Anolis sagrei: one gene and its partner. The protein of the gene in region 1 purifies or fractionates together with the protein of each later gene. This does not show direct contact. Links are inferred from orthologs where the notes say so. Each region holds a gene or a part of one and is shown on either strand. Other genes may lie near its edges. The genes, in order: PBXIP1 and SLC27A1.

The links.
Region 2: the proteins of PBXIP1 (region 1) and SLC27A1 purify together in Homo sapiens (co-immunoprecipitation; 3 studies listed by BioGRID and IntAct, with this or other methods). This does not show direct contact. The link is inferred for Anolis sagrei from reciprocal best matches to the Homo sapiens genes PBXIP1 and SLC27A1.

Annotation. Positions count from the first base shown.
Region 1 is NC_090032.1:267,328-283,783, forward strand, and holds the start of PBXIP1 (pre-B-cell leukemia transcription factor-interacting protein 1), read left to right. Parts: upstream 1-4,725; 5' UTR 4,726-4,964; intron 4,965-9,320; exon of another isoform or gene 9,321-9,699; intron 9,700-11,127; 5' UTR 11,128-11,215; coding exon 11,216-11,278; intron 11,279-12,751; coding exon 12,752-12,833; intron 12,834-13,569; coding exon 13,570-13,631; intron 13,632-15,224; coding exon 15,225-15,402; intron 15,403-15,497; coding exon 15,498-15,677; intron 15,678-16,456. UniProt on the Homo sapiens protein: Regulator of pre-B-cell leukemia transcription factors (BPXs) function. Inhibits the binding of PBX1-HOX complex to DNA and blocks the transcriptional activity of E2A-PBX1.
Region 2 is NC_090022.1:146,942,871-146,959,080, reverse strand, and holds the start of SLC27A1 (long-chain fatty acid transport protein 1), read left to right. Parts: upstream 1-10,353; 5' UTR 10,354-10,475; intron 10,476-16,210. UniProt on the Homo sapiens protein: Mediates the import of long-chain fatty acids (LCFA) into the cell by facilitating their transport at the plasma membrane.

The DNA of each region.
Region 1 (16,456 bases):
ACAGTACACATACACGGCAAACATTCAATACACAGACAGACAGAACAGAAGGAGGTGCCATGGAAGTTGGAGCTCGAGTCCAGGGGGTGCTGTTGGCTTCCTCCTTCCTTTTGGTGGCCCAACATTTTCTGATCTTCCTTCTTTATGGTGTCGTAAAACACCTCCCCCTCTATATAGTGGTACCTAATTTCTCTAAAGCTGTTTTCAAATTGCTTAGGTAAACAATGAGCTAGGCTGACAGTTGGCAGCTCACGCCAACCCAGGGCTTCGAACTTGCAACCTTTTGGTTGATAGATCTTATAATTGCTGATGATTTACCACCCGTGCTAATCCTCTGGCCCTTTTGTGGACGATCTGCTTGGATGTTCTGGTTGATACGGCTGTGTGGAAGGACCCTCAGAGAGGAGCCTGATGGGGCTTCCCTTCTCAAACAATAAAGCCTTTCTGGGAAGAGACCTCTGTCAGTGACAATCATCGTAGATTAGATGCAGCGGTGAAACGTGGTTCTGGGCCCATAACCCAGCTGTCAGTAAGGCAGGAACGTGATCAATGACAGCCACCTTAGGCTATAAACTACATTATTTTACAGCGATATACATTAGAAGCTACTTAACACTCAGCGCACCGTCCAATCGTAACATTGTGAACACAGGAAGTGCTGTTATCAGCACTAGTCCACACCTCTTGCTTTCCAGAGTGACGCACGACAGCTGCGTCCATTTGCTCTATACGCTTGTGGACGCTTTTCTGCTTCCGTTTCCAAATCAATGGCAATAAGGACACTCTACAGACTTTGGGGGAAAGGAGATGGGAAATTTCCTAATTTTCCCCTAAATTTGGCCTGGAACGGATTCCGAAGCCGGACCTTTTTTGGGGGACACGAGATACCTCTTGGGGAACGCTTTCTGCTTCCAAGCTCTGCCCCCGAGAGCGGGAGAGACGGAAACAAGACTCTCGGGACACGGATTATTATTATGATCATGATCATTATTTTTTAAATAATGTTTTTTAAGCAAATCCCTTTTTTTTTGTTGACTTTCCTTGGGTTGCGCATGTGTTTGGGGTTTTTGGGAAGAGAGGGAGGGGGGATTGGGGGGTGGGGGGAGCGAGCGGGGCGCCATCCTTGGGTTTGTAATTCCCCCCTTTTTTCCTCCTTGTTTTTATGTGAAAACATTAAAAAAGTGACGTTTTGTAAAGTAATTGGGGTATTCCTTTCCTCTTGAAAATGTTTACATATTTAGTAATGATTGGGGATGTTTGGGGTCAAGCCCGGAACCCGCTGCCTCCAAAATCAGCCACCTGCAAATATAAATTGATTTATTTACGTATTTATTTATTATTGACGACCTTGATATGGCGCCTTTCTCACCCCGAAGGGGACTCAGAGCGGCTGACAAGTAAAAAGTAAATGCAATATATTATTATTATTATTATCTTAGCACAATATTAATATTATATATTACATTGTACTATAACATTATCCTGTAATATTATTAGTAATATTACATTTAATATAAAATATACAATTATATTATTATTATTATTAGCATTAATGCATAGCACGGCCATGGCTCAGTGCTACGGATTCATGATTTGACAAGGTCTGCCGAATGCCACTGAACTAGAACTCTCACCATCCTTTAGCATCAAAGTGGTATCAAAGTGCATTAATTCGACAGTGTAGATGGACAATTTTGCAACCCCAGACAAAAGTTTTATGTTAACTTTTGGCATTTTGTCAGCTTTTATGTTAAGTGAGTCTCCTTTGGGAGACATAATTATTAATGGGTTGTTGTCTGTTTTCCGGGCTATATGGCCATGTTCTAGAAGCATTCTCTCCTGACATTTCGCCTGCATCTATGGGAAGAGTTGTGAGAGTGTTCTAGAAGCATTCTCCCCTGACGTTTCGCCTGCATCTATGGCAAGCGTCCTCAGAGGTTGTGAGAGTGTCCTAGAAGCATTCTCTCCTGACATTTCGCCTGCATCTATGGCAAGAGGTTTGTGAGACTGTTCTAGAAGCATTCTCTCCTGACATTTCGCCTGCATCTCTGGCAAGCATCCACAGAGGTTGTGAGAGTGTTCTAGAAGCATTCTCTCCTGACCTTTCGCCTGCATCTATGGCAAGCATCCCCAGAGGTAGTGAGAGTGTTCTAGAAGCATTCTCTCCTGACGTTTCGCCTGCATCTGTGGCAAGCATCCCCAGAGGTTGTGAGAGACCTCACAACCTCTGAGGATGCTTGCCATAGATGCAGGTGAAACGTCAGAAGAGAATGCTTCTAGAACGTGGTCATATAGCCTGAAAAACCTACAGCAACCCAGTGATTCTAGCCATGAAAGCCTTCGACGATTAAATATCATTATTATTATTATTTTTCTGACACAGAAGCACAGTATGTCACAGCAAAGGAGATCTATATGCCGGATTATTATTATTGTGGTTATTATTATGGTTCTTATTTTGTCCAGCCTTTGATGCCACTTGCCCGTCCCTGTGTCTTGCTCAGTTTGGGGTTCAGTTTGGGGTGTGCAGAAGCATTGCAGGTGAGGGGGGCAACGGGGCAGAAGGGGACCAAAGTGCATTGGAATCACCGTGTAGACGCTTCCAAGGATTCCTAACCCCGATGTTCCAGAGGAAGAGCCTTGGCCCCGTGTTTGCTCCTTGCTCCCAAGTGTGGGTCGGCCTTCCAGCTGGAGCAGGGCCAGCGGAGAGACCTTTTGTGGGGCCGTCTCTCCCCCTTTGTCTTTGCCGCCTCCTTCCTTGAAATGTGGTGACAGTTTGGGGCCAGCACCGCTCTCTCCTTCCCTCCTCTGTTGGGATCTTCTTGGCTGCATTCCTTCTCCAGCCGAAGAGAAAGAAGACCGGTCTTTGCAAAGGACGGCGGCCCTTGGGCTTGGGGGAGTCCCCAAAGCGGAGGCTCCAAAGGCAACCCATAGAAATATATTTTTTTCTATGTGAAACAAAACATGACTACAGCAGACTCTTAGTTAACCGGAATCCAAGCAACAGGTGGAAACAAAACCAAAGAAACCACACTTTGCATTTTTGAAAAGCTGGTTGTCATGCTACAGCCAGGCTGTTGGGTTTGGCGTTGATGGTCTTGGTTTGCTTTTCACGACTGGACTGCAAGGTGAATCCCCAGTCGATGCAGAGTTTATGGTCTGGGTTACAGCACGAGGTCTGCCTTTAAGAGAGAGGGACTCTCAAGCAACCACAAACTGCACTCACACAGCATTTATCGATCCCTGTTATTGTTGTTGATATTATTATTGATACACATCTACCAATCCCCATGGGGGCGGCCATGGGTTAATTGGGAGTCGACTATATTATTTATTTATATTTTTATATATTATTATTATTATTATTATTATTGGTATACATCTACCAATCCCCATAGGTACCATGGATTAATTGGGGGGTCTACAGTATTATTATTCATATATTATTATATTTATATTTATTATTGATACACATCCACCAATTACCATGGGTACCGTGGGTTAATTGGGGGTCTGCTGTGTTATTATTAAAATATTTATTATTATTAATAATAATATATTTATTATTGGTACACATCTACCAATCCCCATGGGTACCATGGGTTAATTGGGAGGTCTACTGTATTATTATTAATATATATATATATTTTATTATTGGTACACATCTACCAATTCCCATGGGGGGGGCATGGGTTAATTGGGGGTCTACTGTATTGTTATTAATATATTTTATTATTATTATTAATATTATTATTGGTATACATCTACCAATCCCCATGGGTACCATGGGTTAACTGGGGGTCTATTATATTATTATTAACATATTTACTATTATTATTGGTACACAACTACCAATCCCCATGTGTAGTATGAGTTAACTGGGGGTCTATTATATTATTATTAATATATATATATATATTATTGGTACATATCTACCAGTTCCCATGGGTACCATGGGTTAACTGGGGGGTCTACTGTATTATTATTTATATATTATTATTATTATTATTATTATTATTATTATTACTATTATTATTGATACCAACTACCAATCCCCATGGGTACTGTGGGTTAATTGGGGGTCTGGGGTATTATTATTAATATATTTATTATTATTATTATTATGATGTTTGTTATTGGTACACATCCACCAATCCCCATTAGTACCGTGGGTTAATTGGGGGTCTGCTGTATTAATATTTATATATTTATTAATAATTATTATTATTATTGATCCCAATCCCCATAGGTACCATGGGTTAACTGGGGATCTACTGTATTATTATTAATATATTTATTATTATCATTTATACACATCTACCAATCTTCATGGGGGCCATGGGTTAATTGTATTATTAATTACTGTATTATTAAATACAGTAATTAATAATACTGTATTATTAATATATTATTATTATTATTATTATTATTATTATTGATACACATCTAACAATCCCCATGGGGTAATTGTATTATTTTTGTATTGTATTATTATTGTAGTATTATTAATATATTTATTATTATTATTATTTATTGTTAATGCAACATCTACTAAACCCACGAGAGGTCATGGATTAACAGAGAGTCTGATGAGGATGATGATGGTGATGATGATTGACCTGGCATCTCCCAATCCCCACAGGAGTTTCCTCTATATTATTATTATTATTATTATTATTATTATTATTATTATTATTATTATTATTATTATTATGTCTCCTTTAATGCCAACCTGCAAGTGGAGCAGACTTCTTGCAGACTTATTTTCCAGCCAGCTTTGCACTCATTGGCTGGGCTCTCCCTCTCACGCCTCCTGATTGGTTCCCTGGCTGCCCTCGGTCCCGCCCACCTTGCAGGGGAAGCAGCTGCAACAGAAGTTTCAAGAGAGGAAAGTTGAGAAGCCGAAAGGAAGGAAGGAAGAAGGGAAAGAAAGGAAGGAAAGAGCTTGCCCACCTGCCTTCCAGGTAAGGATCCCTTGGGGGCCCCACAGGGAGGGCCAGGGGTTGGCCATTGAGAGGCAGAACTAGCAGCATTATTATTATTATTATTATTAGTATTATTATTATTATTATTATTATTATTATTATTGTAATAATAATGACTGTAGGATTGGGCGTGCTTTCCTTCCTCCCTTGGATTTGGTCCAGCGCGTGCAGGGTTGCCACGGCAACAGCATCCTCTTTCCCAAAAGTGTCCATAACACTTTGCAACACAATTTGTGTCCCTGGGCTATCAACGTCATTTCCTAATTGGGTCTGTCATCAACACATAGGGAAAGTTGATTAAATTGCCAAAATATTGTTCTTCTGGGACATCCTGCTATAATAGCACATTACGTTACAGTATGTCATGATATTTATTATTACATTTATTATTATTATGTATTATATTATTGTTGTTTTATATTATATTATATTATTTATTGTTTTATTATTATATTATATTATTTATATTATATTATTGTTGTGTTATCAACATCATTTCCTAATTGGGTCTGCCATCAAAACGTAGGGAAAGTTGATTAAATTGCCAAAACATTGTTCTTCTGGGACATCCTGCTGTAGCACATTACGTTACGGTATGTAATTATATTTATTATTATGATATATTATATTATTTTCGTTTTATATTATAATTACATTTATTATTATATATGTTATTATTGTATTATATCTATTATTATATGATATTATTGTTATATTAATTATTTTATGATGTAATATTATTGCAATACAATTATATCATTATATACTAAATATTATATTAATAAATAGAATAATATATGTTTATTTATTTAGTATTTATTTAAAAACTATTATATATGTTATTGTATTATTTCTATTATTATATGATATTATTAAGTTATATTAATTATCTTATGATGTAATATTATTGCAATAGCAATACAATTATATCATTATATACTAAATATTATATTAATAAATATAATAATAATAATAATAATAATAATAATAATAATAATACTATGTGTTGTGATTATTGTTCCTGGGTTGTTATCAATGTCATGTGCTATAGCTTTTCAATGAATGTCCCATCATTGAGTCTCAACAATTATATCATTATATACTAAATATTATATTAATAGAAATAGTAGTAATAATAATAATAATAATAATACTATGTGACGTGATGATTGTTGTCATGTACTCGAGCTTCTCAATGATCGAGTCTCAACAATTATATCATTATATACTAAATATAGTATATAATGACACGATAAATAAATAAATATAAATAAATATACTAAATATTATATTGATAAATATAATAATAATAATAATAATACTATGTGACGTGATTATTGTTCCTGGGTTGTTATCAACGTCATGTGCTCGAGTTTTTCAATGAATGTCCCATCGTCAAGTCTCAACAATTATATCATTATATACTAAATATTATATTAATAAATATAAGAGTAGTAGTAGTAGTAATAATAATAATAATAATAATAATAATAATAATAATACTATGTGACGTGATTATTGTTCCTGGGTTGTTATCAATGTCATGTGCTATAGCGTCTCAATGAAGGTCTCATCATGGAGTCTCAACCCATTGCCACCTAGTTTGTGGCAGACACACAAAGCGACACTTCTGGGGGTGAACAACAACTCCTTTCAATGGAAGAGGGAGAAGGACTCTCTCCAAAGAGGAAGGGAACTTGGTTCCAGTTGTCCTTTCTTTGGGTCTGTTCCTGTGTCCCGGTCGGTCGCCTTGAGTCCAACGAGTGCCTGGAAATCAAACAAAGTGACTTGCCCTAAAAAGGAAGTTTTTGCCCAGAAGAGAGAGAGAGAGAGAGAGAGAGAGAGAGAGAGAGAGGCTGGGAGCCTCCGAAGGGGAAGGAAGGAAGGAAGGAGAGAGCGGAGGGAGGGAACCCTGGCCATGCTCTTGCTTGCTTGCTCGCTTGCTTGCTTGCCCAGGTTTGGGAGCGTCCCACCTGCTGCAAGGCATTAAGCGCAGCTATAAATAAGGCCGGGCGCCTTCCCTTTTGAGCCCTTGCAGCTGTCCCTCTTTCTGCTCGCCCCACGGAGGAATCTGGGGAAGGAAGGAAATAGACAAGGAGACGAGGTGGAGCTGTCTTCCTGGCCCCCTCTCTCTTCACTAGGAAATTTAGGTATTGCTTTACGCGGGGAGGCTAACTTAATTAATTTACAGCGCCATAAAACCTTCCAGCAGCGTGCATAAGAATGAGGAAGTCCTCCATCCAGAACTGGGTGTCACAGCTCCCCCTGTGGCCGGACCTCAGCACACCCTCCTGAAGCCGGAAAAGCGGGAATGTTGAATGGCCTCTATGTGTTGCACGTCTATGGCAGTGTTTCTCAACCTGGGGGTTGGGACCCCTGGGGGGGTCACGAGGGGGTGTCAGAGGGGTCACCAAAGACCATCAGAAAACACAGTATTTTCTGATGGTCATGGGGATTCCATGTGGGAAGTTTGGCCCAATGTTATTATTGGTGGGGTTCAAAATGTTCTTTGATTGCAGGTGAACTATAAATCCCAGCAACTCCAACTCCAATATAGAAGGGGCTCTTTGGGGTTTGGCTTGAGGGCAGCCAGTTCCAAGGGGGGGCCCTCAACTATCCCCAGGGCCAAGGCACCTCCTTCTGTTGCTATTCTGGCCCTTCTTTTTGCACACACACACACCGCCATGCAGCGCTCTGGGAAGGAGAGGGCATGGTTGGGATTCCCCGCATTCCCGGTCCCTCTCTCTCTTTCTCCGGCCAGAAGAGACCGGGCACAGCCGCCTTCCCCCCAAGGAGCCCGTCCTTGGCACTCTCTCCTCCTTTCTTTCTTTCTTTCTTTCTTTCTCTCTCTCTCTTTGGCCACCCTTCTCTCTGCGGCTTTGTTTCGCCACCTTGCGCCCCTCCGTCGGATCGTAAAATTAATTAATTGAGAGGAACATAAAGGAAATTTCTTCCTCTTTTTCTCTCTTCCTCTTTGACTTTTTCTTTTTTCTCTCTATTTCTTTTTCTATTGTTCTTTCTCCTTCTTTCTTTCTTTCTTTCTTTCTTTCCCTCTCCTTCTTTCTCTTTCACTATTTTTCTTTCTTTTTCCTCTCTCTCTCTTTTCTCTTTCTTTCCCTATTGCTCTGTCTTCCTTTCTCTCTGTTTTCTCTCTCTCTTCCTCTTTCTTTCTTTCTCTTTCTCTCTCTCTCTTCCTTTCTCTTTTTTTCTCTCCCTCTTTTCCTTTTTTCTATTTCCTTTTCTATTTTTCTTTCTCCTTCTTTCTTTCTTTCTTTCTTTCTTTCTTTCTTTCCCTCTTTCTTTCCCTCTCCTTCTTTCTCTTTCTCTATTTTTCTTTCTTTTTCCTCTCTCTCTCTTTTCTCTTTCTTTCCCTTTTGCTCTGTCTTCCTTTCTCTCTGTTTTCTCTCTCTCTTCCTCTTTCTTTCTTTCTTTCTTTCTTTCTCTTTCTCTTTCTCTCTTCCTTTCTCTTTTTTTCTCTCCCTCTTTTCCTTTTTTCTCTCTATTTCCTTTTCTATTTTTCTTTCTCTTTCGTTCTTTCTTTCTCTCTTTCTTTCCCTCTCCTTCTTTCTCTTTCTCTATTTTTCTTTCTTTTTCCTCTCTCTCTCTTTTCTCTTTCTTTCCCTATTGCTCTGTCTTCCTTTCTCTCTGTTTTCTCTTCCTCTTTCTTTCTTTCTTTCTTTCTCTTTCTCTCTCTTCCTTTCTCTTTTTTTCTCTCCCTCTTTTCCTTTTTTCTCTCTATTTCTTTTTCTATTTTTCTTTCTCTTTCCTTTTTTCTTTCCCCCTCTTTTTCTCTCCTCCTTTTTCTATCTCTTTCCCTCATTCTGTCTCCTTCTTTCTCTTTCTCTCTCTATTTTTTCTTTCTTTTTCCTCTCTCTGTCTTTTTGTTTTCTCTTCCTCTTCCTTTCTCTTTTGCTTTTTTCTTTCACTTTCTCTTGTTCTTTCTCTTTCTTGTCTTTGTTTTTCTTTCTTTTTCTCACTCTCTTTCACGCTTTGTCTTTCCCTTTCTCTTTCTTTCACCCTCTCTCATTCTTTCTCTCCTCTCTTTCTCATTCTTTTTCAGTCTCTTCTCTCTCTATTTCTCCTTTTTTCTTTCTCTCCTCCTTGTTTTTCTTTCTGTTTCTCCCCCCTTTCATGCTTTCTTTCTCTTTCTCTCACCCTCTCTCATTCTTTCTCTCCTCTCTCTTTCTTTCTCACTCTCTTCTCTCTCTATTTCTCCCTTTCTCTTTCTTTTTCTCCTTGTTCTTTTTCTTTCTTTTCTTTCTCACTCCCTTCTCTCTCTATTTCTCCTTTTTCTTTCTCTCCTCATTCTTTTTTCTTTCTTTTTTCTCTCTTTTTCTTTCTTTCTTACTCTCTTCTCTCCCTTTTTCTCCCTTTCTCTTTCTTTCTCTCCTTGTTTTTCTCTTTTCTCTCTCTTTCTCATTCTTTCTCTTTCTTTTTCCCTTTCTTCTCTTCCTCCCTCCTCCTCCTCTCTCTTTTCCTGACCCTTTGCCCTCCCTTTTCTCCTCCCTGGTTCCCTTTCCCCTTCCTTCTCTCTTGATATTGAGAGGAACATCAAGTCAATGCGTTCAAGACATCCATCCTAATTTGAGTCTGTTTTGAGAGAGGAACGTCAGGCACAAAACTCTTGATTGTGGCTGCCTCCGGGGATCGTCCTTCCCTCTCACTTGCAGATCCGTTCTTGCAACCGTTCTATTTAGAGGGAGCAAAAGAAAAAGTACAACAAGGGTTGTGTGTGTGTGTGTGTGTTGTGTTGTGTTCCATCGTGCCCTTCTTCCCCGTCTCTTCTTTGCATGGATTTGTTTTGCAAATCCTTCCCATGTCGGCCAGCAAAGCCCAAGCTCAGGAGACTTTGTGCCTCAAAGCAACAAGGGGCTCCTCTTCTCTCTCTTTCGAACACAAAGCACTCGGGACATGCTCAGAGGCACTCTTGGCAACCCACTCTTCCTGACTGTGAGAGCTGTTCAGCAGTGGAACTCTCTGCCCTGGAGGCTCCTTCTTTGAAGGCTTTTAAACAGAGGCTGGATGACCATCTGTCAGGGATGCTTTGAATGCAATATTCCTGCTTCTTGGCAGAATGGGGTTGGACTGGAGGATGGCCCCCCCAGGTCTCTTCCAACTCTTTGATTCTATGAAAGGTGTGAAGACCACCTTCTTCTCTGGAGGGAGGGGGGTGTTTTATGTATTTTTAATGGGTTTCAATTGTGTTGATTCTTCATTTGAGATAGTTCTGGGTTTAATTCTATTCTCTTCCTCCTTCCTTCCTTTCTCTTCCTTTCTTTCCCTTTTCTCCCTCCATGCCTTTCCCACTTTCCTTTCCCTCCCTCCCTCCTCCTTCCTCCTTCCTTTCTTTCCTTTCTTCTTTGCTCCTTTTTTCCTCCTCTCCTTCTTTCCTTCCTTCTTTCTCTCTGCTCTTCTATCTTTCTTTCTTTCTTTCTTTCTTTCTTCCTAATTCCTTCTTTTCCCTTTTGTTTCTTCTTTCTACTCCTCTTTCCTTCCTTCTCTCTTCTTTCCCTTCCTTTCTTTCCTTTCTTCTTTGTTCCTCCTGCCTTCCTTCCTTCCTTCCTTCTTTCCCTCTTCTCTTCTTTCTTTCTTTCTTTCTTTCTTTCTTCCCTTCCTTCCTTCCTTTCCTTTTTGTTTCTTCTTTCCACTCCTCTTTCCTTTCTTCTTTCCCTTCCTTTCTTGCTTTCTTCCCTTCTTTTCTCTTCCTTTCTTTCCCTTTTCTCCCTTCATGCCTTTCCCTCTTTCCTTTCCCTTCCTTCCTTCCTTCTTTCCCTCTTCTCTTCTCTCTTTCTTTCTTTCTTTCTTTCTTTCTTTCTTCCCTTCCTTTCCTTTTTGTTTCTTCTTTCCACTCCTCTTTCCTTTCTTCTTTCCCTTCCTTTCTTGCTTTCTTCCCTTCTTTTCTCTTCCTTTCTTTCCCTTTTCTCCCTTCATGCCTTTCCCACTTCCCTTTCCCTTCCTCCTTCCTTCCTTCCTTCCTCCTTCTTTCTCTCTTCTTTCTTTCTCTCTTCTGTTTTTTCTTTCTTCCCTTCCTTCCTTTCCGTTCTTCTTTGTTCCTTTTTCTTCTCCTCCTTCCTTCCTTCCTTCTTTCTTCTCTTCTTTCTTCCTTCCATTCCTTCTTTTCCCTTTTGTTTCTCCTTTCCAGTCCCTTCCTTCCCCGGTGACCTCACAGAGGGCCACTTCACCCCGGTCGGGGCCCCTCTTTGGCCGGGCTCGGCTGGGCATGCGCCGCCATGGCTGACCGCTCAGACTCCCGGGAGTCCGACAACAACAGCTGGGTGATGGCCGGATCAGAGGTGAGACATGGCCCTCCCACTCCTATAACAACAACAACAACAACAGTTGAATTGCTGTGACTTTTCCATGCTCTCAGGTCCTGTTCTAGCAGCATTCTCTCCTGATGTTTTGCCTGCATCTTTCCCTAATGGCATCTTCAGAGGTTCAGAGGTTCTTTTGGCAGTGAAACAAGTGGAGTGTAGCCCTCTCTATACACACACACACACACACACACCTGTGGAATGATGTCCAGGGTGGGAGAAAGCGCCCTTGTCTCTTTGAAGCAAGTATGGATGTTGCAATGAGCAAGCTTGAATAGCACGGAGAGGCCATGCATTTTGCAAGGTCAATCAGTGAGGGTCTCTGCATGGATATATACCTGTGGAGTGATGTACAGGGTGGGAGGAAGAACCCATGTCTGTTGCAATGAGCAAGCTTGAATAGCATTGAGTAGCCTTGCAGCTGCAAAGTCAATCAGTGAGGATCTCTGCGTGGAGGTGGCCTGGCTGTTGTTGCCTGGAGGCACCCTCTGTGGAATGATGTCCAGGGTGGGAAGGAGAACCCTGGCCCGTTTAAAGCAAGTGTGAATGTTGCAGTTGGCCAGCTTGATTGGCATTGAGTAGCCTTGCAACTTCAAAGTCAATCAGTGAGGATCTCTGCATAGAGGCGGCTTGACCGTTGTTGCCTGGAGGCACCCTCTCTGGAATGATGCCCGGGGTGAGAGAGAGAACCCTTGTCTGTTGAAAGCAAGTTTGCATGTTGCAATGAGCATTTTTGAATAGCCTTGGTGCTGCAAAGTGAATCAGTGTGAGAGTATCTACCTAGAGGTAGCCTGGCAGGGACCCTCACTGATTGACTTTGCATGACTTCCACGCAGAGACCCTCGCTGACTGACTTTGCACGACTTCCACGCAGAGACCCTCACTGATTGACTTTGCACGACTTCCACGCAGAGACCCTCGCTGATTGACTTTGCACGACTTCCAGGCGGAGACCCCCACTGATTGACTTTGCACGACTTCCACGCAGAGCCCCTCACCGATTGACTTTGCACGACCTCCACACAGAGACCCTCACTTATTGACTTTGCACGACCTCCACGCAGGGACCCTCACCAATTGACTTTGCACGACCTCCATGCAGGGACCCTCACCAATTGACTTCGCACGACCTCCATGCAGGGACCCTCACTGACTGACTTTGCACGACTCCCATGCAGGGACCCTCACTGTGACTTTGCACGGCTTCCATGCAGGGACCCTCACTGATTGACTTTGCAGCTTCAAAGCTACTCAGTGCTATTCAAGCTTGCCAATTGCAACATCCACCCTTGCTTCAAACAGACCAGGCACGGAAAACTGGCATCAACCCAGGCTTAGGCCTTGTTGGGTATTTTCCTCCCTCTGCTGGGGTGGGACTGCAGATCCCATCGTCCCCGCCCGGCAGGCCCACTCACCCCTGCTCTCTCTCCTTTGACCGCTCTCTCCTTGCAGACCCTTCCCGTGGAAGAGCTTCGCTCCGAAGAAACGGCAGAAGTCCCGACAGAGGACCCTTCACCCACCCAGAAGCAGCAAGGTAAGTGGAGGCGGGCCAATCCTCATCATTACTATTATTATTATTATTATTATTCCCCATTTTTCTTTCTTGGCCAAGACTTGCAACAGATTAAGCCATGCACATTATTATTATTATTATTATTATTATTATTATTTTACTGGCACATTATTTATTTTATTATTTATTATACTCACAACAGGTTAAGCCATGCATCATATTATTATTATTGTTATTATTATTATTATTATTATTATTATTTTACTGATACAAATATTATTACTATTTTATTGGCACATTATTTATTTTATTATTTATTATACTCACAACAGGTTAAGCCATGCATCATATTATTATTATTATTGTTATTGTTGTTATTATTATTATTATTATTTTACTGATACAAATATTATTACTATTTTATTGGCACATTATTTATTTTATATTATTATTATTTTACTGACACAATTTTTTATTGTATTATTTATTATATTATTTATTTTACTGACAATATTATTATTATTATTATTATTCCCCATTTTTCTTTCTTGGCCAAGACTCACAACAGATTAAGCCATGCATATTATTATTATTATTATTATTATTATTATTTTACTGACACAAATATTATTATTATTTTACTGACACAATTTTTTATTTTATTATTTATTTATTATATTATTTATTTTACTGACATTATTATTATTATTATTATTATTATTATTATTATTATTCCCCATTTTCCTTCTTTCAACAGCCCCCGTTGACGAAAAAGAGGTCCCCGAGGTCCTTTCCGAGCCAGAAGAGCCCAAAACAAAGGTCGAGTATCGAACTCTTAAGGCTCTCTTAACCTTTGAGGGGTTCAGGGTGTGTCTGCACCACACATTTATGCCAGTTTCACACCACTTTAGCTACATGGGGGTTGGTGGCTTGTTGAACTATACGGAAATCTCTGTGGGTGAATAGGAAGGAAGGAGGGGGAAAAAAGGAGGGAAGGAAGGAAGGAAAGAGAAAAGGAAAGGAAGAGAAGAGAAAGGAAGGAAAGGAAGGGAGGGAGGGGGAAAGGAGGGAGAGAAGGAAAGAGAAAAAGAAGGGAAAGGAAGAAGAGAAAGGAAGGAAAGGAGGAAAGGAAGGGGGGAAGAAAGAGGGAAGGAAGGAAAGAGAAAAAGAAGGGAAAGGAAGAGGAGAAAGGAAGGAAAGGAGGATGGGAGTGGGAAAGAAAAAGGGAAGGAAGGAAAGAGAAAAAGGAGGGAAAGAAAGAAGAGAAAGGAAGGGAGGTGGAAAGAAAAAGGGAAGGAGGGAAAGAAAGAAAAGGAAGGAAGGAAGGAAAGGAGGATGGGAGGGGGAAAGAAAAAGGGAAGGAAGGAAAGAGAAAAAGGAGGGAAAGAAAGAAGAGAGAAGAAGGGAAAGAGTAAGGGAAGGGGAAAGAAAGAGGGAAGGAAGGAAAGAAAAAGAAGGGACAGAAAGAAGAGAAAGGAAGGGAAGGAGGAACGGAAAGGGAGAGAAAGAGGGAAGGAAAGAGAAAAAGAAAGGAAAGGAAGAGAAAGGAATGAAAGGAAGGGAGGGGGGAAAGGAGGGAAGGAAGGAAAGAGAAAAGAAGGGAAAGGAAGAGGAGAAAGGAAAGGAGGAAGGGAAGGGGGAAAGAAAAAGGGAAGGAAGGATAGAGAAAAAGAAGGGAAAGGAAGAGAAGAGACAGGAATGAAAGGAGGAAGGGAAAGGGAAAGAAAAAGGGAAGGAAGGATAGAGAAAAAGGAGGGAAAGGAAGAGAAGAGGAAGGAAAGGAGGAAGGGAAGGGGAAAGAAAAAGGGAAGGAAGGAAAGAGAAAAAGGAGGGAATGAAAGAGAAGAGAAAGGAATGAAAGGAGGAAGGGAGGGGGAAAGAAAAAGGGAAGAAAGGAAAGAGAAAAAGAAGAGAAAGGAAGAAGAGAAAGGGGGAAGGAAGGAAAGATAGAAAGAAGAGAGAGGAGAGAAAGGAAGGGAAGGAGGAAAGGAAGGGGGAAAGAAAGAGGGAAGGAAGGATGGAAAGAGAAAAAGAAGGGAAAGGAAGAGGTGCATTGGGTTCAACCCTTGTGCCAACAGGACTTGTGGCCAACAGGTCGGAGGTTCAAATCTGGGGAGAGCACGGGTGAGCTCCCTCTGTCAGCTCCAGCTCCCCATTCGTGGACATGAGAGGAGCCTCCCACAAGGATGGTAAAACATCAGAAAACATCCAGGCAATGTCCTTGTAGATGGCCAGTTCTCTCACACCAGAAGCGACTTGCAGTTTCTCAAGTTGCTCCTGACACGAAATAATAATAATAATAATAATAATAATAATAATAATAATTGATTGATGCCTAGCCCTGTTATTAGTATTATTATTATTGCACGCACGCGAGTATTGAAATCCCGCTCTGTCCTTGTTTTGGGGCAGCCCCTTGGAGGTGGGCCGGGGGTGGCCCTGGACGTCCCTTCGGAAGAGACCCCCGCAGCCTCAGCCTCAGAGCCCAGCCCGGTCCCGGCCCCTCCGCCAGCCAAGGACTCCCTCACCCATCATGCTGAGGAGGGCTCTGCCGCCGCCCCGCCAGGAGCCCCCCTCTTCCACAGAGCAGGTGAGGTCCCCCCCCCTTCCTCTTCCTCTTCCCCCCGCCTGGGTTGGAAGCCCCCCCTCTTTGAGGCCACCCCATTTCCCGCTTCCACTTTGCAGGTCCTCCCGTGGCGGAAGACGTGGAAGGCCTGCGAAGGCGGAAGGGCCGCGAGGGGCCCGAGGTGGCTGTTCCTGCCGCAGGAGGGGGCCGGGCCCCGGGCGCCCGAGAGGAGGGCGGGCAGGCCATCTGGCTGTGCGGATTCCTGGCTCTGCTGGGACTCGGCGTCCTGGTCGCCCTGGGTGAGTGCTTTCTGCAAGGGAAGGAGGGAGGACATCTCTCGGGAGGGCTTGCGTGGTGTCCTCCAGCCTGGCATGAATACGGTGGGACTGGGGGGCCTTCTTTGGGGCCCCTCCCAAGGGTCAGATTCTCTGTCTATCCATCTGCCTACGAACCTATCTATTTGTGTTTCTATTTATGCATCTGTCTGTCAACCTATACATCTATCTATCTATGCATTTATCTGTAATAATAATAATAATAGTAATAATAATAAATAGAAATAATAATAATAATAGTAATAATAGTAATAATAATAATTTATCTACCTGTCTATGCATCTATCTATGCATCTAGCTATGCATTTAGCTATCTATGTATCTATCTATGCATCTATGTGTATCATCTATCTATGCATCTAGCTATTTATGTAAGCATCTCTATATATGCATGTATCTATCTCTCTATTTTGGCAGAAGGAGGTTGGACTAGATGGCCTTCATTGGGCTCTCCTCCAACTCTACGATTCTATCTATCTATGCATCTTTCTGTCTGTCTGTCTGTCTATCCCTCTATCTATCTATTTCTCTGTCTATCCCTCTATTTATCTGTCTGTCTATCTATCCATCCATCCATCTCTCTCTCTCTCTATCTATCTATGTATCCATCCATCCATGCAGCCATCTGCCTACCTACCTACCTATCCATCCATCCATCCATCCATCCATTCAAGCATCCATCCATCCATCCATCCATCCATCTATCTATCTATCTATGTATCCATCCATGCAGCCATCTACCC
Region 2 (16,210 bases), on another chromosome or scaffold:
CGGCTTTCTCTCAAGGACAGGGACTCAACAGTAAGCATTCAGCCCAAATTTTGCTCACCTTGAAAACCTCTTCAATTTCAAGCCAAAATGGGGAGTCCTTACACTGCTGCATGTTCTGCACATTAGAAAGATCCATCCAGTTCAGTAGACAATGATAGTGGCGCCTTTGCAGCTAGTGTCTAGAAATCTGGGGTGAGTAACCTTTCCTGCTGGATATGACATCGCTACCTATTAATAGAAAAAATACTGAGTGCTTTAATCTTCTTAAAGTAGCCCTTGGGAGATAATATGACCAATGCTTTGCTTCCCAGGAATCTATTTATTTTGCTGACAGCTTGCTGGCCCGGCAATGATCCTTATGAAACAAAAAGAGTAATTCTTTATTCTTTCTGCACCATCATTCTTATATGGACAAGAGCAACCTGTAGCACACTTGCCAAATAAATAAATCTATTGATAAAAAAAACCCACCCTGCTTTTTCCTAAACTGCCTAAGACAGCTCACCCATCAATAAAGCTACAATAACAACATAAAAGTGGCCATAAAAGATGAAACAGCACATAAAATATAAAACCAAGCAGCTAAAACTATAAATACGACTAGGAGGGGTCAAGAAAGCATACCATCACCAGGGGAATAAAAGCACATCCCGGAAGGCCAATGCGTTGCTTCCAAATAATGAGGTGTTCTCACTGCAGCGGAAAACCTCTCAAAAGGGACCAATCTGGGTATCAAAAAGAAAACATCTTTCATAGAAACCTCAGATACTCTCTCCTAATTCGTATATATTAACAGCCAAATATATGAATGTATGTATGTTTGTCCATTTGTACCACAAAGGCTTCTACCTGGCTTCATGGATCTGGGCCAAACTTGGCAGACCTCACAACCTCACAATCTCTGAGGATGCTTGCCATAGACGCAGGCAAAATTTCAGGAGAGAATGCTTCTCTAAAACATGGCCATATAGCCCGAAAAACCTACAACAACCCATACCCTCTATTTAAATTTAAAATAACTGCTGGGTTTGAGCTAAAAGAACCATCCTTTTCAGGCCTAGAGCAGACAGAAAGAAAAGGATCAAAGTGGATTTGTTTTGGATTTGTGAAGGATAGGCTGTTGGGTGGAGAAAGGGCCCTCTGTGATGTGACGAGGAAAGAAAGAGAGTGAAGAGGCTTGGCTGTCGTTAGGTCCTGTATTAATGGAAGGGATAAAAGAAAAGAGAGAGAGAGAGAAATGAAGGAAATTAATGGAGGAAGAAAAGAAGGAAGACATAAGGAAGGAAGGAACAGAAAGGCAAAAGGAAAGAATATGAAGGGAGAGAAAGAAAGATGAAGGAAAGAGAAAGGAAATAAAGAAAAGGGACAAGGGAAGGAAGGGGGAAAAAAAGAAGGGAACAAAAAGGAAGGAAAGGGAAGAAGAAAAGAGAGAGGGAGAAAGTACAGTATTAGAGGGACAGAGGCATAATAATAATAATAATAATAATAATAATAATAATAATAATAATAAACATTATTTATATTCTGCCCTCCTCCCCTAGGGGGCTCAGAGCAGATTACAGCATTTACATACACAGGCAAACATTCAATGCCTTTACAATCATATACAATGAAACACACAAACACAAACAAAGGCAGAGGCATCTCCTTTCATTTCCGGCTTCTGGGGGCCGTGGGGAGGTGCTTTTCTCCATTTTCAGCCTGCATTGTGACCTCCTGGTTGTGTGGCTGGCAAGATTGCTTGGAACATCTCTTTGCCTTTTCCCGCCAAAGCGGTATCTATTTATCTATTCACATTTGCATGTTTCCAAACTGCAAGGAGCTGGAACAGACAGCTGGGAGCTCACTCCGTCTTGTGGATTTGAACTGCCAACCTTCAGGTCAGCAGTTCAGCAGCATCTGAAATGCATCTCAAAATGGAGTCATTAGGGTTGTTCCTGCAAGTTGGGACTACTGGAGGGTGTTGGCAGGCTCATTTAGGGTAAGATGATGCTCAGGTCTTGGGGTCCAAGCCATACATGAGGAACCTTTGGCTCCCCATATTTTTGGATGAGTTCCTATCCAAGCTGGCAAGACAACTGTATGTTGAAAACTAAAACATCTACAGGACTGCTTCTGAAAATCGTGGTCCATAGTAAGTGCCAGTCTGCAAGACACTGGGTAGCGGTTCAACTGAACAAGAATATTGATTCCTGTGAATTCTGGCTGAAACGCAGAGGACTAAATTCAATTGTTTCGCCTGGCCATCCCAATAAGGGCCCTTCACAAAAAATAGCTTTTGGGGTGCATGTGGCCCATGAACCTCACTTTTATTGTCCCTTTAAAGACTTGACTAACCTTGTCATAATACATTGGTAACTTAGATCTTTACATTTTGTCGCATCATCCATAGCATATACGGAGGCTTAACAATACCTGTAAAACCAGCTTGTACACCCAGCATTGCCCAGGTCCGCATTTTCTAATGGGACAATTGATAATATCACAAAGCTAACAATGAGTATGTCTAATAAATAGCATTAGAAAATGCTTAACTAGACAACACCAAGTACAAAAGCTAATTAGTAATTGTTACTATGAGCGAGCCAAACTCTCTCGGCATTGAGTTGCACTCTAGTCCAAACAGAAAGGTGTAAACAACAACCTGATGTAGACAATTTTGTTTAAATAAAATCTGAAATTGTTGCATTGAGCAAGCATCATTATAAAATTTGAATTTCTGCCTTGAGTAGACACACACGCTTTAAAATATAAATCTTCATTAAATTACTTATTTCCTTTTTTTGGTCTGGATGTCCCTGCTGTGAACTTCAGGGATGTGCTATTGCCTCATGATAAGAGTCGTGCTGGGCCCGCTCATGAGGATGCCACCTTGTCTGCCTATACATTTCCTGACCGTTTTCTGATTCTACTTGTTCATGTGGCCTGACCCCCTGAAAGCCTTTTCTTTGAAGCTAAGCAGTTTGGCCCCAGTCGGGGATTGCATTGAAGACCAATAGCAAATCCTTTATATACTGCCCTCTTGTGATTGTATCTGAATGCTGGAGATACACATTCCTTTTAATTTGTTTTAAGGGTCCACCTCTGAAAAGCATGATAGAATATCTTAAGTTGGATAATGAAGAGTATGCATGTCAAGTTTGGTTTAGATCTATTGAACCACAAGGAGGTTCAAGGCCCAATTGGTCTATTTGGTGACTTTTAATGGTTATTCAGGGCCCGTTTTTTTCCATTTTAAAAGTTGTTCAGGACCCGTTTTGCTCATTTGGTGCCTTTCTAAGGTTATTTAGCTCGTCTTTAGGGTTGTTCGGGGCCTGTTTTGCCCATCTGGTGCCTTTCTAAGGTTGTTCAAGGCCTCTTCATTATTTATTTATTTACCGTATTTCTATCCCGTCACTTCTCAACCCCCGAAGGGGGACTCAGGACGGCTTACAATGGGTACCGTTACGATACCACTACATAGCAATTACAATAATAAAACCACAATTGAACATGTCATAGTTAAAAACAATACATAAGCAATCATTAAAACCGTAAAACAATCTCATCAGCCGTATCGCCGTTCCAGTCAAAGTGCTGCTTGCATCTATTGCCCAAAGCCTGGTCCCAAAACCATGATTTTAATTTCTTTCGGAAAGCCAGGAGGGAGGGAGCCGATCTTACCTCAATCGGGAGTGTGTTCCATAGACAGGGAGCCACCGCCGAGAAGGCCCTGTCTCTCATCCCTGCCAGACACATCTGTGCTGTTGACGGGAGCGAGAGCAGGGCCTCCCCAGATGATCTTAGATTACGAGGCGGGACGTAGGGGTGGATGCATTCGGACAAGTAAGCTGGCCAGAACCGTATAGAGCTTTATAGGTCAAAACCAGCATTTTGAATTGGGCTCGGAAATGGACCGGCAGCCAGTGGAGCTGACATAACGGGGGAGGGGGGAGGTTAGTCAGGACCTTTTTGCCCATTTGGTGCCTTTCTAAGGTTGTTCAGGGCCTCTTAAGGGTTAGTCAAGTCCTGTTTTGCCCATTTGGTGACTTTTAAATGTTATTCGGGGCCTCTTTAGGGTTGTCCAGGGCTCGTTTTGCCCATTTGGTGCCTTTCTAAGGTTGGTCAGAGCTTCTTTAGGGTTGTTCGGGGCCTGTTTTGCCCATTTGGTGCCTTTTAAAGGATTTCAGTATCTCTTTAGGGTTCTTCAGGGCTTGTTTTTCCCATTTGATGACTTCTAAAGATTATAATACAAGCAAGCATACATGTATACAAACTGCAGTGGAAACCCACAGAAAAATATTGTTATCTCAAAGAGGCAAGCCAGGTGTGTACTCACCACTTCATCACACTAGATAATGAATCCACTTTAAATCCGGTTTCTGCCTCCTGCAGAATTCTGGAGTTTGTAGTTTAGTAAAGCTGTTAAAGACTCCTCCCTAAACTACAAACTCCAGAATTCTGCAGTGAACTAGTGTGACGAGATTAGCTGCTCATTGCTCCTGTCTCTTTCTATAGCCCCTAAAAGCCATAAAGGAGTGTAGGTCTCCTTTAAGAAAACAGGATGTTTTCTTTCATGGTTAAATATTGACCAGAACGGTACAGCCTTGGAATGTGGTAGGATACTTTAGCTCAGATGGTTGACCTTTACTCCCCTTCTGTTATCTTATAGAATTATGGGGAGATATTTGCCATGTCAGATCAGCTTTAAGGACATGGGCTTTGGGAGGGCGGGAGGATGGCCCTTGGACAATGGGAGTTGTGGTCCATCCAAATCCAGATATCACTGTGAACCCCACCAGTGACAGATCTGGACCAAACTTGGCACACACCCATCATGACCAACTTAAAATACTGGTGAGATTTAGAAGCAATAACAGAGGATGGCGGGAGTTATAGTCCATCCACATCCACACACAATTGTGAAAATACTGGAACTCCTATGACCAACAGAAAATACTGGAAGGGTTTGGTGGGCATTGACCTTGAGTTTTGGAGTTGTAGTTCACCTACCTCCAGAGAGCACTGTGAACCCAAACAAGGATGGATCTGGACCAAACTTGGCACACAGACCCAACATGAGAAACTTTAAACACTGATAGGTTTTAGGGGGGCATGTCAAAAGATGGTGGGAATTGAATTTTACAATCCTTTTCTAACAGAACCATTCATAAAATACAAAAACAAACAATGCCTTTTTCAAATGTTTATCCTTACCAAATCCCTAACCCAGCAACACCAGGTACATAAGCTAGTAAGATATAAAAATCTGTACATCTCAGCCAATGTTTAATCTCGAAGAGGAAGAGTCCAGACAAGTGCTGCATGCTGTTTGCTGATCCAGGGGTTCCCAACAACAAACTGGGGAAAAACTTGAATGGCTCATATTTCTTTACTATGCTTTTGTTATCATGCTTGGTTCTTTAATAAATTCCTTTCTGTCATTATAGTCACTTATGTGTGTATTGCCTCCTGATCCAAAATAGGATCTTTTACCTTTGACAAAATACATACTATGACTTTTATATATGCATAAGACAAAACCTCACATTTGATACACTACTACTTCCTAGGACAAGTCTTTAAAGAGAGTTGCACCCACACCGTCTGTCCCTGTCTCTTCGCTGTTTGCCATAAGCCAGAGCAGGCAGGCTTCCTCTGTTATTTACTTGAGAGCAGGAAGACAATTATTTTTGCTGACCATGTTTACTAGCAAAGGTTTACTGCCTTCCTTCCCTCCATGATTCACTGAGTAAAACACGAAGCAAACAGTTTACGAGTTGTGGCCCTTTAAATAGTATAATTAGGAATCCGGTCCAGCCCAATATTCCAGTTAGATAAAATTAGAAAAACCAAACAAAACACTTAAATACACTTAAAGTAGCCTTTTAAATTCACAATGTACCTCTTGAGGTGTCTTCAAAACACCTGCATAAATAATAAACTGTTATATATATAGAAGTTATAGAACAGACCAATGGCCGCAAGGGGAAGGAGTTAAAGGGCCCTTCCAGACAGGCCCTATATCCCAGGATCTGATCCCAGTTTTTCTGTTTAACCCAGATTATCTGGCAGTGCGGACTCATATAATCCAGTTTAAAGCTGAAAAACTTGGGATCAGATCCTGGGATATAGGGCCTGTCTGGAAGGGTCCTAACCCTCCCTGCCTATGTTTCACTTCACATATATTCCTCCTCTCCAATTTGGTATGGAAAGGAAGGCTTGATCGACATGGGGAGGGAATGAGAGGAATGACAGCAACTGGAAAATACCAGCTGGCTTCACTCAACATGTCAACCATCCAGGTGTTATCTGTGTCTTGTGATCTTAAGGTCAATACCCTTTGGGCAAATCACTCCTATAAAGCAAAATGTTTTCTGGCAAGGAATCACTAAATATTGTGTTTACATGCCTCTTCTGAAACAATGGTCTACCTTGAGGCCATTATGATTTGTTTTATCTGAATCTGATGTTAATCCTTGAAGTTCATTGGGAGTTTGAGGAAGCTTTATGCAAACAACTATTTCATCTTAAATTATGTCACAAGGTTAGTAGGAAGATAAAAAAAGATTGTGTGAATTTTGTTCACAGGATGCTCCAGCTGATATAATCAGCATATATGATTTTTGCATAACTTGTAAAGCTACTTTTACCTACTATTTAATTTTAGCTATAGTTCCAAGCCTGAAAAGAATTAGTTATTGTCATTGCTACAATTTTTGAAAGTATCTTTCCTATTTCTTGACATTAACTAAATGTGCTTCAAAATTCATCTGGACTCCAAAACCCACGGGCTAATGGGATTAACATACTCCCCTGTCCAATTGGCATTGTAGAGGAAATAGCATGGGGCCCATATTTTTCTCTTGATACTTAGTAAAGCCACCTGTAGCAGTAAAAATAATTAAAATGATAGCTACGCTACCAATTTTGACTATCTGTATTTTACTGCTCTTTTTTTCCCAGCCCTCACATGGCCAAATGTGGCTTTTGACTACACTGATACCCTGCTAGCGAAATAATCTGAATGGACAACAGTAAAACATCTTAAGACAAAATGTAGGCTCGTGACTTTCTTGCATCATTTCTCCTTCTCCTGTATGATTTTTAGCACCTTCACCAGATATGCTTTTTTGTTGACCCTATAAATATATACCAGTAATTGTATATTTTGGATTTAGTTCTAATCTGGGGTGGTTAACTAGATACCTATAATAATTTACTTCCAAATTCCAAATGTTTGATTCGTCTCTTCTTTCTTCACAGTTCCTAAAAAATATGCTTTGGAGGTTTTGAAAATGTGTGGGACAATGTGGGAAGTGGGCAGATTTGGCCAAAAAACAAAAAAAACCTCGCTTCTACCCCAATATGGATTAAAACTCAAATAACTTGAATTATTTAATAAAATAACAGCAGCAGCAGCAACAAAATCTGAAGGCCAAAACACTGACTGGTAGACTCAAAGACCTGAAAAAGAGCATTCCTTTCATCTCTTGGGAGTCGGAAAATGGATCATAACGTAAAAACTTCCTGATGATGATCAGTATCAAATGCAAGTTTAGAGCATCTTCTTTGTCTTGATGTTGTTGTTTTTTAATTTGAAGAAAGGTGCAAGTGTGTATACAGCTTCTTGTTCCCTTGTTCACTTACCAAAGCCACTATTAATTGGCTTTGAACTTCCTTAGTTGAATCAATCCGTCTGTATTCTAGGGCCCTTCCAGACAGGCCCTATATCCCAGGATCTGATCCCAGGTTTTCTGTTTATTCCAAATTATCTGGCAGTGTGGACTCATATCCAGTTTAAAATAAAAAACCAGATCAGATTCTGGGATATAGAGTCTGTCTGGAAGGGCTCGTAGTTTCCCTCTTCAGTGGGACATTTTTGTGAGCCAAACTTAATTTGAAACCTAGTAGAACAGTGAATGTGGGCCTGGAGATTATTGCAGAAAAAGCCTAGGATTGAGAAAGTTGCTTTCGGCCCTCTTTGTTCTGAGGGAAGAATATGAAGGACTATATCTGCTTATATTACTACTAGATCTGTTTCTGACAAGGCGGCCAGTTCAGGCAGTGCTGGCAGGTCCCAGGTCAGTAGCCCAGATCTTCTCCAAACGTCTGGAAGAGCCCGTAGTTTCCCTCTTTTCTTAGTACCTTCAACTTCACTATGAATAGGAAAAACTCTACCCAACAAGCCTTGTGAGCTCTTTAGTAATACTGTTGGGATTATGGAAACAGGAATTCAGGAGTTCTGCTATTTAGGATATAGAGGAAAGGTCACAGAACATCCGATTCATTCTCAAAAAGAACAAAAGAAGAACATCATATCTTTTCAAGGTTTAGTAATCACTCCCTTTGATACATTTCTAACCATTAGTTTTGTTCTCAAGTAAGAATTGTCCATCTCTTGTGAAAACAGTTGCCTCTTCACAAAAACCTGCATTGTACTCTTGGTGGCAGCCCTTTAGAAATAGCCACACACTGGAAAACATTGTCTCAATTAAATATCTAGGCTTTGCTCAATTACATGCAAACTGATGCTATGGCACTTTATGAAAAACCTTCTGGCAAAATAGGTATGTCAACAGTTCCAGACAGAATAAATCAGTGTATGGAGACATGGTTTATATTGGGTTGTTGTAGGTTTTTCGGGCTATATGGCCATGTTCTAGAAGCATTCTCTCCTGATGTTTCACCTGCATCTATTGACCTCACAACCTCTGAGGATGCCTGCCATAGATGCAGGTGAAATGTCAGGAGAGAATGCTTCTAGAACATGGTGTTTTGACCTACAGTTTATGAGCTGTTAGGATTTCTGGGAGTTGGAGGCCAAAACATCTGGGGACCCGCAGGTTGAGAACCACTGCATTAGGCCCTTTCCTAAACTAAAATTTTGAGACATTTCCAGAGGTGTGGGGTGTGTACATAGTGCTTGTCCATAGTGCTTGTCCAATTCATGACAAGTTCATAGAAAAGTCATCAGAAACTGGGGAAAAGATCATTGCAGTCTCCATTGCTGGCACCTATGGGGCTATTCTAAACTTCATTTTGGGGTCCTGTTTTTCAGCAACATGAGAACAAGAGGAAAGTGGGAGGAGGAGGAAGATACCAGGGGGTGCATCAACACTGTAGAATACAGTTCCACACTACTTTAACTGAACCCCCAGTGACACAATGGACTAAACCTTTGTGCTGACTGAAAGGTCGGCGGTTCAAATCTGGGGAGCAGGGTGAGCTTCCATCTATCAGCTCCAGCTGCCCATGCGGGGACATGAGAGAAGCCTCCCACAGGATGGTAACACATCCGGGCGTCCTCTGGGCAATGTCCCTGCAGACAGCCAATTCTCTCATACCAGAAGTGACTTGCAGTTTGGGTTGTTGTAGGTTTTTCGGGCTATATGGCCATGTTCTAAGAGCATTCTCTCCTGGTGTTTCGCCTGCATCTATGGCAAGCATCCTCAGAGCTTGTGAGGTCTTGTAGTTTCTCAAGTCGTTCCTGACACGAAAAAAACCCTTTAATTTTCATTTCCCAATGCTATGGACTCATGAGAGTTGTATAGGGTGCAGCAGCATAACTTCCTTTTTTCAAAACTTAATAAAACCCATTTTATGAATGAGAATATTTTTTTGTAATGTAGGCACATACTTAAAGTTTTGTTTTACGTAATTTTGAAGATCAAATTAGGTAGGTGACGTCCCCCATTCTCCATACACTGAGTAAACCGATTTCTGGTATTTGTCACGACTCTTGCCAGCATAGCAGGCGTTATGTTGGCAATTTCTTCCTGGATGTTGGTCTTCAAATCTTGTAGGGTCCTTGGACGGTTCATATAAACATGGGATTTCAAAAAAATCCCATAGAAAAAAATCACAAGGGGAGATCACAAGCCAAATCTGGAGAGCAGGCTAGCCAACCACTTCTGGGACATTATTAAAGCAGTTGAAGGTCAATGACAAAGGATTATTTCAAATTGTTCCTGCCAGATTAGGATACTGGAAGAGTGGTCGTGGGGAAGAGATATCAGGCCGCTTTCCAGAGGAAGCAAATAGCAGTTTGGCAAACCATCCCTAAGCATTCCTTTCCTAAGAAAACCCTATGAAATTAAAGGCCGCCGCTACTCCTATTAGAATGCCCCTATGTGACGTCATGAACCGGCTCTCTCGTGATTGGCTAAGACGGTCTCGGACGCTGGGAGGTAAAAGCGTTTCGCGTTCTATTGTCAGGGCCACAGGCTCTCGCAAACCACAGGCCTCTCCGCGCATGCTCAGGAGACGCTTTCCGCGCGTTCCACGACCCACTCTTTCCGCTCTTCTCGGTGCCTTGGCCTCGCCTACTCTCCTCCCCCCTCCCCCTCACGCTTCTCTGGGGCTTGAGGCGGCGCTTCCTCTTTAGGCTCCGCCCCCTCTCCCTCCCTCTCTGGCCCCGTGAGCGTTTTCTGTAGAGAAGGAGCCGAGCGAAGGTGAAGGAGGCGTGTGAGGAAAGTGGCGGTTGCCAGCGCGAGGTATGAAACGACCGTTTCGCCCTGGGGGAGGGAGGGGGAAGCGGCGTTCCCTTGGCAACGGGGGGGGGAAGCTTTGGCGTGGCCGTTACTCTGGCAACGTGGAGGGTGGGGGGCGAGGGGCAGCGTTGTCCTGGTAACAGGGCTGAGGGAGGGGTAACTTTGTGACGCCGCTTGGAGGGATCCCCTCTCCTCCTCATCTATGTATATATCAAAGTAGGCGCGTGTAGGTTTGTTGTTTGGCTTGTCCTATGTATTTTTTTATTTTTATTTATTTACAGCATTTATATGCCGCCCTTCTCACCCCGAAAGGGACTCAGCGGTTTACAAGATATATAAATATATATATAATATCAGTATTATATATAACTATATTGTACTATACCGTTATATTGTAATATTAATATCCTACAAAGAGTCCTCAATGGCATGGTGGGCCTGGCCCATTCTTGGCGGGCAGACTCTCCCTATGTGAAGCCTGCAGGTCACTGAGGGGAGAAGGAACGTGGATTTCAGAACCACTCCTTCTTTGGAGGCTTTTAAACAGAGGCTGGATGGTCATCTATCAGGGGTGGTTTGAAAGCGATTTTCCTGCTTCTGGATATCCCACAAGGTCTCTTCCAACTCTAGGATTCTATGACTGTTGTTCGTCAATTTTTTTGGTTAATATCTGTATACACTAAAACTACTCCAAGCACACACAGAAAAAAATAGCTACTAAGCCCTGGTGGTGCGGCGGGTTTAACTGCTGAGCTGCTGAACTTGCTGACTGAAAGGTTGGCGGTTCGAATTCAGGGAGTGGGGTTAGCTCCCACTGTTAGGCCCAGCTTCCACCAACCTAGCAATTTGGAAACAAGGAATGTGAGTAGATCAATAAGTACCACTTCAGCAGGAAGATAACTGCGCTCCATGAAATCGTGCTGACCACATTACCTTGGAGGCAGGCATGTAGCCGGGGGGGGGGGGGCTTGGAGGCTTCAGCCCCCCCCCCCCCCGAAATTCTCATGGTGGTTCGCGAGAAGGCCTTACTGGTGCATTATTTAAACTGTTATGTTTATTCATATCATGATCTGATCATCATGCTCAATATATGCCATATGCATGGGGGTATTGGGGTAACAATACAAAAGGTTTGCTAGGGTAGACCCTCTTTCGCTCAGACTCAGCCCCCCCCCCCCCCAAAATCAAACTCCCCCCCCCCCCCCAAATCAAAATCCTGGCTACAGGCCTGCTTGGAGGCATCTATGGACAACACCAGCTCTCCAGTTTAGATGAGCACCACCCCCCAGGGTCAGACACAATTAAACTTAAACTTAATATCAAGGGGAAACCTTTATCTTTACTAACCAGAAAATATAAATCAACATCTAACACTTCTGAGTAGGTACCTTCAAGTTTCCTCAATCCATGCCTTTTCACAGAGTTTGCTTTGCAAAGAGTACTGAGAAGGTGCTTTTGCCCAGTCCTTCCTTTGAAATGTATTTCCACAGCACCTGGTTTTTGTTGGCAGTCTCGGACCCACGTAGTAACCCCGGGCTGATAACGAAAAGAGAAAAATAGCAGGCATGAGCGTGTTACAAAATAAACGATTACTACATTACGTAAACTACTAAACTATCTGGCAGCGATTTCCATCCATCTTTTCTCTGTTTATTAGTTGAGTGGTTTTGCAGGAGTTTGGTACTTAACAGGGTTAGCAACCACTGTAACTTGTATCTTTTACAAGCAGCTCCACAGTTGGACTTGACCAGCTGATATCAGTCCTTACCTGTATGAAGTAAAAAGACCTGGCTGGCATGTTAAATTTCTGGACCTTTGATTGCTGTTAAAGGTATGAAAAGCAAGCCATTTTTTGTGTTTTTTGTTTAGCCTGGTTTGTTGGCATCTCTCATTTTTGGAAAGAAATCTTATTTTGCTGTTTTAACACAGTGTAACAGTTGGAAGAGTAGAGCTGTGGAGTGAGGGATCTGCTGAAGGTTAGTTGGCAGGAGACAGTCGTTTGTCCTCTTAAGAGCAGGGAAATACTATTTTGGCATGCTAACATGCTGTTTTGTCATCTGCTAGCTGGATCTAAAAAAGCTGTGCCTTGAAAAGTGTGATGGTGCTGTAATCCCTGACAGACTTTGTAACCGACAAGATTTGAAATAACTATTCTTTCTCCCACCCTGGACATTACAGAAATACTGTATATACTCGAGTATAAGCCAACCTGAATATAAGACGAGGCGCCTAATTTTACCACAAAAAACTGGGAAAACATATTGACTTGAGTATAAGCCGAGGGTGGGAAATGAAGCAGCTATTCGTAAATTTCAAAATAAAAATAGATACTAATAGAATTACATTAATTGAAGCATCAGTAGGTTAAATGTTTTTGAATATTTACATAAAACTGTAATTTAACATAAGACTGTACAACTCTGATTAAATCATTCTTCTAACCTGTATCATTCCAGTTATCACCATAATTTATTTTAACTATACATTTTGAGGGAAATGCTGTGTGTATACAAATAGAAAAAAGTGGGAAAGACTGGTGCGGAGAGGAAGGAGAGCTGGGTTGCTGTGTGGAAAGGTGAGGGTCGTGGCAGGAAGGCATGGAGGTAAAAGAAGCCCTTCCTCAACCCCACGCCTTCCTGCCAGAACCCTCATCCCCCTTGGCTTTTTCAGCCAAAAAAAGGGCTAAAAACTAGGCTTATACTCAAGTATATATAGTACATACAGTATATAAACCTCATTTGCCTAGTTTCCAACGGACCTTGCCATCTCTGAGGATGCCTGCCATACAGCCCAGAAAACTCACAGCAACCTAGTGATTCTGGCCATGATAGCCTTCGACAACACATCAACTGTATTACTTTAGCATACCATGCAACTGCATCAGTGACAAGTTTTCTAAGTAGCAGTACTCTAATTGATGAATCAGAAGGGACAAGTTGGTACTCGTGCATGACCTGAAGGGATTAGATGATAATTTTTTCAGTGGCATTGAGAAGAACTGCCCACTACATCTGCAGGACATTTCCTTTTTTGGCAGATGTTCACTTCCTTTAAAAAAATGATTGGAAGCAGTTGATTTCACAATGTTTATAGAATCATTGCCTAACTATGTTTCAAAAGTCATGACTTGATTCTTGTCTTTTCCATGTGACCCAGGTGAAGAGCTCCGTGTCATCTTAATTGCTGTCTAGATATTTGCAAGCTGATATCATGTACCAATTTAGCTCTTTTCTCTAAGCCAAACAAATGTGGGTCCTCCATCCTTTCCCCACATGTCATAAATTCCGAACTCCTTGCTGAGTGTTGTTGTTGTAGGTGTTACTTTTCTGAGTGCTCCCTGAGACTGAGTCTGCCCTTCCCTTCAAGAAGTCCAACTACATGACAGATTTAAGAAGGATGCAAAAGTCGGATTTGCCTCTAATAAATCGGAGTTAGAAAGTATCTTCGAGAAGGGAAACAAAGGCCTAATATCCAGGCTCTACAAATATATTTTAGAATACAATTTAGTAGACAACCAAATAAAAACTGTTATGATCACATGGGCCAAAGATGTAGGTAGAAATATCGATTTGGAAGAGTGGGAACATCTTTGGAAAAAGGGGTTTAGATTTTCAGTGGCCAGATCAATTAGAGAAAATATGTTTAAAATGTTTTACAGAGACTACATAACCCCAGTTACTAGCTAAAATAGAGAAAACAGGACGAGGGGCTCGCTGGAGATGCAAGAAGGTGAAGGGATCTTTTTTCCACGTATGGTGGACCTGTAACATAGTTAAAGAATTCTGGAAAAAAGTGGCGAAAGAAGCAAACAAACTGATTAGCAAAAAAAAAAAATCAAGAAAAACCCAGAAATGTGCTTATTAGGAATATTTAGAAGGTCTATTAGCGCAGGAGATGAAGAAATTTGTCAGTCTTGTTTTGTCGCTGCGAGACTAATAATAGCTAAAACATGGAAGGGGGGGGGGGGAAGAGTTAACTATTAAGGATTGGAGAGATAAATGAGTAGATTATATCCAAATGGCCAAACTGACAAATAGCAGCAGAGGAGGAAATAATGAAAAATGTGTTTAAAAATTGAGGTTGGCAATTGGATATCTCGAAAAGAAGACAAAAGTAGATTTGAAGATTGCCATAAAGGGGATTTAGTGAAAAAAGACATGTGGGTAGTTGTGGGTTAGTTATGTGATCCATACGGAGTGGTGTTGGAGGTCATGGGGGTTGAGTTAACGGGTGTAGGATTAGAGGGAAATAAATGTTAAGGTATAATAACTGTACAATCAAAGTTGATTTTTTATACGTTTAATGAGTGCTGACTGTATACCATTCTGTAAACTTGCATACTCTTTTCTATATATTTTTTTCTTTTCTGTTTTTTTGTTTTGTTTTGTTTTCCTCTGATGTCGGTCTTGTTTTCTGTGTGCACCATAAACCAATAAAAATTAATTTTTAAAAAAGTCTGCATGCAATACACCTGAATTGCAACCAGTACCAGATCTGGTTCTGTTGCTTATGTCTTGCTGACAGAAACACTTTTATATGTTAAACGGCTTGGTGACTGACTTACTAAATACCATGTTGTTCTTTTGTCTGATAAACTACTACATTATTTTATTAGCTTGTCAAATGTTTTAAGAAATCCAATAATCAGCATCACCACATCTAACAATCAGATTGTAAAGGTGATCTACTCCAGTCTTTCGCTGATGCAAGAAATTCACTAATAACAGATGGTTATCCAGCCAGTTTTAAAAACCACTAATGAAGGAGAGTTCAGCGTTTTTAGATGCTGTCTTTTGTCATATACATTGTATGTATGATTTAAATATGTTTTAACTGTTTTGGTAATTTAAATTCGGTCTTCCTAGTCCCCCATGAGATGTAACTCCTTCCAGAAATCTTTCAACACAGACAATTGAACCAAATCTTTCAACACAGACAATTGAACCAAGTACAAGTCTTTCCCAACATCACAATCTCTGTTGCCAGCCGTTCGCTTCCAGTATTCTCTCTCTTCCTAAGCCATGTCTTTCAAGATAAATGAATGACAAACACCATTTATATCCACTTCATCCCTTAACAGAGCCTTGTGGTAGAAGTACATTCAGAGCTATATCCAGCGGTATCATTTGTTTCCATGTAGATCATCAATAAGTGTCAATAGTCAGATTTTTCCCCCTAAAATCTTGCTAAGTTTTTGTAGATGCCTCAAGACACCACACACCTTTGGTGCTAAGTGGTTGGGGCGGCATATTGCTGCCTCTGTCCCCCTCAGTAGCATGTGGTCAATTAATGCCCTATGTCTACCTTACACAGGCAGCCACAGGAGTCATTCCACAATTAGAAGCCATGTAGTCCCCCTTTGTGATCCACAGAGCAGGAATAGAGAGGGTTGGAGAATGTGTGGCCTTCCATTTGTTTATGTCTTCCTTTATTATTGTCTATGCTCACTAGGACTGGTGGAAATAACACCCAGACTTCTTCTGGAGAGCCATAACGTGCTTGATGTGAGCCCAGGGTGGCTGTTGTTATTGTCTGTGGACTAGTCCTGAAATTGTTTGATAGTGCCAAAGATAGAGCATTTTTACTTCTAGATTAGCTTTCTCCCTGCATATAAGTCTTCCATGTTCCCATCCTCTGCATCTAGTTTTCTTCCTCCTGCTTATAATTTGTTTCTCCCTGTCATCGTTCCAGAAGTGCTTAATTAGCCTGTTTTGCCCACATATTTTCATCTTTCCAAG